2 linked regions of the Oryzias latipes genome follow. The protein of the gene in region 1 binds, or shares a complex with, the protein of each later gene. Links are inferred from orthologs where the notes say so. Each region holds a gene or a part of one and is shown on either strand. Other genes may lie near its edges.

Evidence for each region.
Region 2: rtraf (region 1) and zbtb8os share a complex: the UniProt entries of both Homo sapiens proteins name them as parts of the tRNA-splicing ligase complex. The link is inferred for Oryzias latipes from reciprocal best matches to the Homo sapiens genes RTRAF and ZBTB8OS.

What each region holds. Positions count from the first base shown.
Region 1 is NC_019860.2:16,861,457-16,865,910, forward strand, and holds the start of rtraf (RNA transcription, translation and transport factor protein), read left to right. Parts: upstream 1-1,602; 5' UTR 1,603-1,714; coding exon 1,715-1,775; intron 1,776-2,217; coding exon 2,218-2,342; intron 2,343-2,413; coding exon 2,414-2,513; intron 2,514-3,844; coding exon 3,845-3,922; intron 3,923-4,003; coding exon 4,004-4,092; intron 4,093-4,204; coding exon 4,205-4,273; intron 4,274-4,454. Other genes in the region: histone deacetylase complex subunit SAP18, read left to right, coding at 51-122, 841-950, 1,050-1,172, 1,242-1,398. UniProt on the Homo sapiens protein: RNA-binding protein involved in modulation of mRNA transcription by Polymerase II. Component of the tRNA-splicing ligase complex and is required for tRNA ligation.
Region 2 is NC_019880.2:14,997,466-15,001,859, reverse strand, and holds zbtb8os (protein archease), read left to right. Parts: upstream 1-1,377; 5' UTR 1,378-1,412; coding exon 1,413-1,539; intron 1,540-1,659; coding exon 1,660-1,684; intron 1,685-1,769; coding exon 1,770-1,891; intron 1,892-3,645; coding exon 3,646-3,728; intron 3,729-3,823; coding exon 3,824-3,876; intron 3,877-4,034; coding exon 4,035-4,071; intron 4,072-4,143; coding exon 4,144-4,230; 3' UTR 4,231-4,350; downstream 4,351-4,394. Other genes in the region: histone-binding protein RBBP4, read right to left, coding at 13-158, 242-389, 806-821. UniProt on the Homo sapiens protein: Component of the tRNA-splicing ligase complex required to facilitate the enzymatic turnover of catalytic subunit RTCB. Together with DDX1, acts by facilitating the guanylylation of RTCB, a key intermediate step in tRNA ligation.

The sequences.
Region 1 (4,454 bases):
GATTTTTCTTTTCTTTTTTTCTTTTAAAACAACACCACCGAGAAACGTAAATGGCTTTAGAATCCAGAATCACTCAAGAAGAAATTAAAAAGGAGCCAGAGAAACCCATTGACCGGGAGAAGGTAAAAACAGCGGCTCGTTAGCCACGGATGTAGCTAGCAGCCTGGTTTGCTAGGCTAACAACATGCTAAAGGGTATTAAACACAATAACGTCCAACGCCGAAAGCAGCAAAAATTACTATTTTTGTGGCTGAATTTTGCTGCTAAAGGTAGTTTATAAAAGTCTATTTAAATTAACCCAATAAGTGATTTAATGGTTAAAAGAAATCAACCGTTTTGGTGACATACGCGTGCTAGGGTTAGCCTGCTAGCTGATGGCTACATCATGTGAGATTACCAGGGTCCTGGTCCCTCGTGTCCCCCTACATTTGGGTCGCGTGGGCTTATGTTCTGAAGGGAGGCTTTATTCATGTGCTTTTTGGTCGAACCTGTTTAATCGGGTTTCCCGAACTTTGGATCAGTGGGTTCTAGAACCTCAACCCCCCCTTCCCCACCCTCCCTCGCTGAGACTAAAGTCGATACTACGACATTGAACTGGAACCACTTGGATTGTAAAATAATTGTAAATTATTTACTTAAAAATGCAGTACAATACATTTATCACATGCAGTGGTTTTAAATGTATCAATATAGCGCGAGGGGCAGGCAGTCTAATAGAATTCAGCAGCTGGCACACAGTACACTTCCGTTTCACTTGCAAAATAAAAGCATTTAAAAAAGGTCTTTGGACCCAGTATTTCAGTTACTGTTTAAATGTAATGCCTGTATTCTTTTTTGCAGACCTGCCCTCTTCTGCTGCGAGTTTTTACCACCAACAGCGGCCGCCACCACAGAGTAGACGAATTCGCTCGAGGAAATGTTCCCTCAAGTGAACTGCAGATTTACACGTGGTACGTAACTGGTTCCGACTTCCTGGTACTTTAACCCAAGAGTCCAAATGAAATCTAAAGTGAGTCTATTTCTTTCATTTTTTTTTTTTTTTTGGCCAGGATGGATGCCACTCTGAAAGAACTCACCAGTTTAGTGAAGGAGGTTTATCCAGAGGCCAGAAAAAAGGGGACCCACTTTAGCTTCGCTATAGTCTTCCCTGATCTCAGAGGGAAAATGTACAAGTACGTATAATTGTCGTAAACAGCTGTGAATTGGTTTTTTGCTTTGATTGAACCTGTTTTGTTCTGTAGGTTCAAAGAGATCGGCAGTACGATATCTGGCAGAAAGGGTCCAGATGACTCCATGACCTTGCAGTCTCAGCGGTTCCAGATTGGGGATTACCTGGATATCGCCATCACGCCTCCCAACAGAGCCCCGCCTCTTGGCCCACGAATGCGTCCTTTCTGAACCCATGCTCACCTAAATATGTGCTTTGATTGACAACTCTATTTCATTTGTGTCTTCAGTAGTTTTGTGTCATTTTCTAATAAAAAAAAACTTGTGTTCAATAAAGACTTTTCATTTCAAAAATTCACCCTTTTGTTTTTTCTTTCTTGGTCACTAAAATAGTTCGTCACTTTATTTTGAAAGGTAGGCCTACAGATTGCAGTCTCCGGTCGCGCATGCGTAGATTCTCAAACAGTCAGCTAGCAGCAAACTAGCGTAGTTAGCTTTGCTGCGGCGTGAAAACACGTTTTCTCTATCAGAAAATCTCCAAGGTGAAATGTTTCGTAGAAAACTCACTGCTCTGGATTATCACGACCCCGACGGATTCGATTGTTCGGGTAAGAAAACGTTTAAATACGGCGAAGGGGGGAGAAATTCACCCGTTTCCAGCTGACGTTGTCATTATTGTGGAGCCGAACTAAAACTACCCTTCTAAAAATAGCAACTTTATAAGTTATGTGTTCAAAATAGCAACAAGAAAGATTCAAATGTCGTTCTATTTATAGTTTAGAAAGTTTACTGTACCATAATTAATTCGGCGTAGACAGCTTCATGATTTGATCTACTTAATTGAAGAAATTATAACTTTTTTTTTAGCTGCTTGCTAGTTTTTCTAAAACGTTTGCGTTCGTGCATCACTATGCTAGTTTATACAATTGTTTTCAGGCTCTGTGTCCAACTACACCCAAAACCCATAGCTACTAGTACTTAATGCGCATTTCAAAGTAAACCAGGTTGAACTTTGACCAGATGACTGCAGTGCTTCTACATGATCTGCAGATGAGACTCAGTTCAGGAACTGCATCGTGTGGCTGGAAGACCAGAAGATCCGACACTACAAGATAGAGGACCGAGGTAACTTGAGGAACATCCCCAGCTCGGACTGGTCCAACGCCTTTCAGAAAGTGAGTGTCTGCTGTGCTGCAGCGTCCCCCCACCCGAACCTTCGGGGTTCTGACTGTGTGTGTGTGTGCAGTATCTGCAGGACCTGAACTGTCCGTTTGGCGCAGAGGAGAGGAAAGAAGCTGTGGACTGGTTACTTGGCCTGGCTGTGCGATACGAGTATGGAGATAACGGTGAGATTCAGCAGTGGCAGGAGCATTTGTGGGGGGGTGCAGTACTCAACAATGACCACTAGATGGAGATAGTAAAAGGAAATTCAACTAGTCTGATTCAGAAGTCCCTCCAAAATAGGGGCGATTAAGCCAGTAATTATTTTCAAAACAAAGAAGGGGAGATACTGCTGTTACCCTAAAATCATCCCCTCTACCCCTTTTTTCTTTGCTCTTCTTTATACAAACAAAATACAAAAGAAGCTGCATCACGCAAAACCCGGAAAAAATTTAATTCTGAACATTTACCATAAAATAGTAAGTTGCTAATGACTTAATTCCCTCACCTTTTCAAAATAAAAGGAGGAAATATTGCTTGGACTGTTGACCACAAGATTTGCGGTAGCTTTATACTGAAACATCAATCATTGTTTTTGAACAAGTGCAATGACACATATTTTTGTGTCTCTCTAAACCCTTTTAGATTATTTTTAGCGTTTTTGTTTTATTTTGTTTTTTTAAACAGTTGTAAAAAGAAACTAATGTGAAGTTTTGTATATGTTTTTCCAAGTTACACACTATAGCTCTGTGGGGGAGTATTTAGCATCACCCCTGTGTGTGTGTGTTTTTGGTTTTCTTCTGGGATACTTTGTTGCCAACTTTTCAGCTCTGCAGCATCAAATTCGCCCACAAAATGAATTATTCTGAACGTTGGACGTTGGTAGTTGTTGGAGCGCGCTCAGTAAGGCCCTTTAAGGGTTGAGAAATTACAGGGTAAACACCCCGTTTTGATTGCAAATACTTTTAAAAAACAATCAAATGAGGTCTATAGAGAAATGCATCAATAAAATGAGTAAATATTAGCCATAAATATTAGCAGACACTAGAAGTGAAAAGGGATCAATTTGTTTCTGGAACCAGTCCCCCAGTGGCAACCTTGGGTACTACATTAACTTCATATTATTGTATATTTCTGTTTAAAGAGCTTTTTTATTTCACCAGACAAAACTCCTGTATTAAATATCTTAGTTTTGACACTAGGTGGAGCTGCTGCCCCAAACATGTCAGCTTCTGCAAGAATGAGGAATTGCGGAAGGAAGAACTGTTTGTGGGCAACAATAAAGCACATAATTTGCAAATAATTTATGTTTTTTTTCATTTTCCCCCTGTTTTTGCTGTCAAATAAGACAAAAAACACCAAACTGAGATCACTCTAGACATGTCTTGTAGTCTGCAGTTACTGCAGGCTCACAAGGTGAAAATCTTGGCTACATTTTGAAATAATTCACCACTTTCTGTGGTCGTCAGGGGGCAGAAGTTGGATCACCGTTTTTGTTGTTGATTTATTTTATCAGTTGAAAAGTACAGGAACTGTCAGCCGCTGGCGTCCGGGAACAGCGACAAAGCGGTGGATCCGCTCCTCAACCTCGACAGTAAGTCTCTGTTTTCACTTCTGCTACTGGAAAACTTTTTATGTTATATTTTTTTTACATTTTGTCACATTCTTTTTCCAGGTAATTCTCCGGATTTCAAGGCAGGAGTTACGGCTCTGGCCAACATCCTGAAGATCCAGCGACACGACGATTACCTGGTCATGCTTAAGGTGGAATGAAGAGAGGGTTCATTCCCCATTTGAGTCAAGTTTGAAATGATTTATCCTTAATTTATCTCAAGTTTTTGCCTTTTTTTTGTTTGTGTTGTTTTCCCATTCTCAGGCCATTCGCATTCTGATCCAGGAGCGATTGTCTCCAGAGGCGATCACCAAAGCCAACCAGAGCAAGGAGGTAAATGGTGGCCTTAGTGTTCAGCTATGTTTACGTCGCCCTCGGCAACGCGCCTTCAAGCTACCACTTGCAGTGAAAAGTCTATGTCGTAGATGCACGTTTAGGGGCTACCGTGTTAGTTAACTAAAGTGCGTTAAAAGTTAAACCAGTTGAACTTTGACCTGTCAGGGACTCGGATTTG
Region 2 (4,394 bases), on another chromosome or scaffold:
AGCGTAACTCACCTCCTTTTTCACTGTCATAATGCGAGGCATCAAACTGGGCGTCATCATTTGGAAGCTGAACACTGGCAATGACGAGGTGGTTCTGCTCATCTGAAGTGTGCGTCCCCAGAACCAGCCTGTGCACGCTGTAATCCTTTCCCTCCGGTCTGAGGGAAAAGAACACAAAAGCTACATTAGATGGCCAAATATCTTACGGATTTCTAAAAATGATCTGAGACATTTTTCTCACCTGGTGACATCTGGGAGCCACTGAGCAGTGAGACTGGGCCACTCCAGCGCGTGGGTCATAACCAAGTCATAAAGAAAAGGGGTGTTCTTCTTCCAGATCTTGTACTCCTCATTGATCACTCTTTCCTCCACAGCATCATCAAATGCAGCTAAAAAATACAATTAACCAAAACCGACAGATTTTTAAGATAAAAGCTTTATCGTACTATTTTTGGTTGCAAATGTAAAGTTTTTTTTTTATTTACAATCAAACATTATTTTAAACTAAGAAAAAATAGGAATGGTTTATTAACCAAATACAATGTATTCTGAATTCTTGAGTTGGATTAATGATTAATAAAAATAAGACATTGATAATAAATGGTAAAAATTAGTCTACTTTTATCTACGTAGGTTGACGCTAGAAGCTAGCAAGCTAACAGCTAAATTGCTACTCTAACAATGAGAAGAGCCGCTGGCCGGCGCGCTGCGATCCCCGGTGCATTCAAAACTAAGCTCTTTTAACCACTCTGCGTAGCAAACGTCCACATTTACTCTTTTCGTTCGAAATAGTATACACTCTTACCGTCTTTGTCAGCCATCGTGCAACGGTAAAATGGCTAGTATTGGTAGAAAATAAGTATTTTATGGGACAGCACTCAAAAGACAGCACGCAGCCTTTCAATGGCGCCAACTCCGTGGAAGGGAGGCTGACCAATCACCATCGAGAAAACCCGACAGGAAGTTATTACAGCAAAGAGGCAACTTCCGGGGCTTCCAGTCTTGAACTCATACGTTTTGGTGCATTCATGTACCACTGAAACTCGGAAATAGGATATTTATCTTTAGAAACATGCAAGAACGCTCCTAACAGACGTAGCTTTGATCCTTAGTAGTTCACTCGCGTAAATGTTCAAAATAATTATCTTTATTTACGTTGATGGGGTTAAAGTAATGTTGGAGGTAGTAATGTATTATTCTTGTCACGATATATTTCAAAGTGTCTTTCACAAATTGGAATACCTGTTATGTTTTAGTTCTGTCACAGTAACATCTACAAGTCAGTGGCATATGATAAAAACTCGTATATTGCGACACATGTTTTCCTTGCAATTTGCAAGAAATGAGTTACAGATTCCCATTTTCGTGTTCCGTGAACGCAGCATGCATTTCCTGTTCCGACATGATTCTAAATGACGGATAGTTTTTTTTTTATACTTGACGCACTTCGAACTGCAATGGACGACCGTGAGCTAGACCTGACAAACGAACAGAAAGCTGTCAAGTCAAAGTATCCTCCGATCAACAAAAAATATGAATGTAGGTCTCAAGAAAGGAAAATAAATGTTGTTAGCGTAGCTTGTTTATAGCTGAATGAAAACTGACAAATGACATGATGTGAAAAAAATAATGATAACAAACTCTTTTTAAATATTGTAGACCTGGACCATACAGCAGATGTACAGTGAGTATGTTGTATTTGAAATGCGGGGGCTGCTATTGATCTGTGTTTAGTTAGTGCTATTGTTTTTATATTTTTTTATTCCAAGAATTCACTCTTGGGGAGACTCCTTGGAAGAAGCTTTCGAGCAGTGTGCCATGGGCATGTTCGGCTACATGACCGACACAGAGACCGTAGAGCCTCTGGATACCGTTGAAGTGGAGTCAGAAGGTGAGAAAAAGACGCAGAAAATAGTTATCCGCTCAAAATAAAGTATGACGAAGGGGAGCACCTCAGTCATTCATGTCATTCTATTTAATTTATAGAAGAAGAATAGAAGCTCATAGAAGCTCTCTCTCTATATATGTGATATTGTGTGAAAAAGATGTAATTCTTCACACTATATATACTCTTCTCAAGTGTTCTTAGTGTCCATTTTGAACATTTTGAGGACATTGCTGCTTTTTATTTACATTAAATAAATTGCTAAAAGGCTGTCAATGACAGACTGGACTGGTCAACTAACACAGGTGTCCTGTACAACGGGGGTCAGGGTCGACTCCACGGCACTTGCTAAGGAGTCTAGGGTCCTTTGGAGTTTTCAGTCCCGGTAAAGACTTTTTATGATAGTGTTGTTGTGTCTGTCCTCTTCTGTGGAGTGTGTTGCGGGAAGATACACTGACAGAAACAGGAAGAGGATTGACAAACCGGTGCGGAGATCCGTCTTCATTCTGGGATGTCTTGTAGAGTCTGTGATGCTGGTGGGTGAGAGGAGGATGGAACGGAAACTGTGATCCATCATGGATTGTCCTCGTCACCCTCTGCTTTAGTAAAAAGGCATTCTTAGTCTTTGTTCTCTTAGGCCAGGGGTCTGCAACCTTTAACACCGAAAGAGTTATTTGGTCCAGTTTCTTACTGAATAAAACACAGCTAGAGCCACTGAGTCCTACTTAACCTCCATCTACCCATCCATCCTCCGTCCCTTCGCTCATCCGGGGCTGGGTCGCGGGGGCAGCAGTCTCAGCAAAGATGCCCAGACTTCCCTCACCCTGGCCACTTCCTCCAGCTCCTCTGGGGGGAACCCGAGACGTTCCCACGTTTTTTTAGGTTTAGGTGGCCATCCAGCCATTCAAATATGAACTCAATTTTTTAAAGAATATTTACAATAGTTACATTATAAAAGTGTTATAGTTTCTATAAGTAACAATTTCAACATCTTTGCTTTTGACAGTTGCACAAACAAGTTCCTTTCAAAATAAAGTACATCCTGTGTCCAAGAAGATCCCCTTACTGCATCCGATTTACTCAATGTAACAATGCAAGAAAACCGAGTCAAACATTGCATTTTCTATTAGTTACAACTGCTATTGTGCAGCATATATTAGAATAAATTGACCAATTTAATATTTTTTAGAATTGCTTGCATTTTTCTTAGAAGCCACAGTTGAGGGAGCCTCAGGTTGCAGGATAAAAAGACTTATTGTTAGATGTTTTTAATTGCTTTAATTTCTTGTAGTGTCTCTCCTTTCTCTTTTCACTAAAAATCACAAACCCATTAAGTTGAAATTACTATTCAAATGATGACTGATGGGTACATATGAGTAAAATGAATCCTCAGTTGTTTTCAGGGGCAGGCTCATTGTCACATTTACTGATGGAAAGAGTTGCTTTAACTCAAAGCAGCAAACGTGTACTTGATGGGATTATCTACAAAAAGTTTGAGACAATCATTTGCTTTTTAAAGGACTGTTGGCCAACACATAATGGAGCTCAAGGTTTAAGTGTAGTGTAATGTCTTTGAGAAACATTTTTATAGTAAATCTTGGAAAATGCTTTTGTTGGCCTGTCTCAACCACACTGAAACCCCTTAAAGAGCTAGACTTGCTAAATATTTTTGATAATTAATACATTTACATTTTTGTTGTGGATCTATGTTTACTGAAAACATAAAACTAATAGCATATGTACTTGCTTCCTTTCACAAGGTGAAGATATGGAGTCTCTTCTCTTCCATTTCCTAGATGATTGGTTATACAAATTTAGTGCAGATCTCTTCTTTGTACCCAGGGTGAGTATCTTATTTGTTTGTGGAGTAATATTGTTTTTGTCATTACATTTTCATGTTATAAGCTTATTGTTGTTGTTTTTTTCTCTGTTCATCAGGAGATAAAGGTTTTGCACATAGACAGAATGCATTATAAGATTCGCTCCATCGGGTAGGATTGGGCTCATTTGATCAACTTCATAAATACCAAAACTTCAGAAACCATTTTTTCAATGCACTAGTTTAGTTAAGTTTTCCAAAAAGTTCTACTGGTTGATGGGATTTTGCAAGCTGTTGAAGCTTTCTCCACACCATTTTTGTTTTGCATAGGTGGGGAGAGGAATTCTCCATATCAAAGCATCCTCAGGTGGGTCAGAAATAAAATGAGCCATGTGTAAAATTTCTACAGCATCTTTAACTTGTCCTCTTATGTCCTCAGGGGACTGAGGTCAAAGCCATCACATACTCTGCCATGCAGATTCATGATAAGGAAAAACCAGAAATATTCACCATCATTGACATCTAAACCCCTTTGGGGGCAGAAAACACTCCCGAGTTCCAACTTCTTCATCAATCTACAAATCAACAAATGCTTTTATTTGATTAATGTTTGCTGAGGCTTCAAAATAAAACTTGTCAACATTGAGTGCTCATTCTTATTCGAGGTACAAGAGTTAGATGTAGACATGA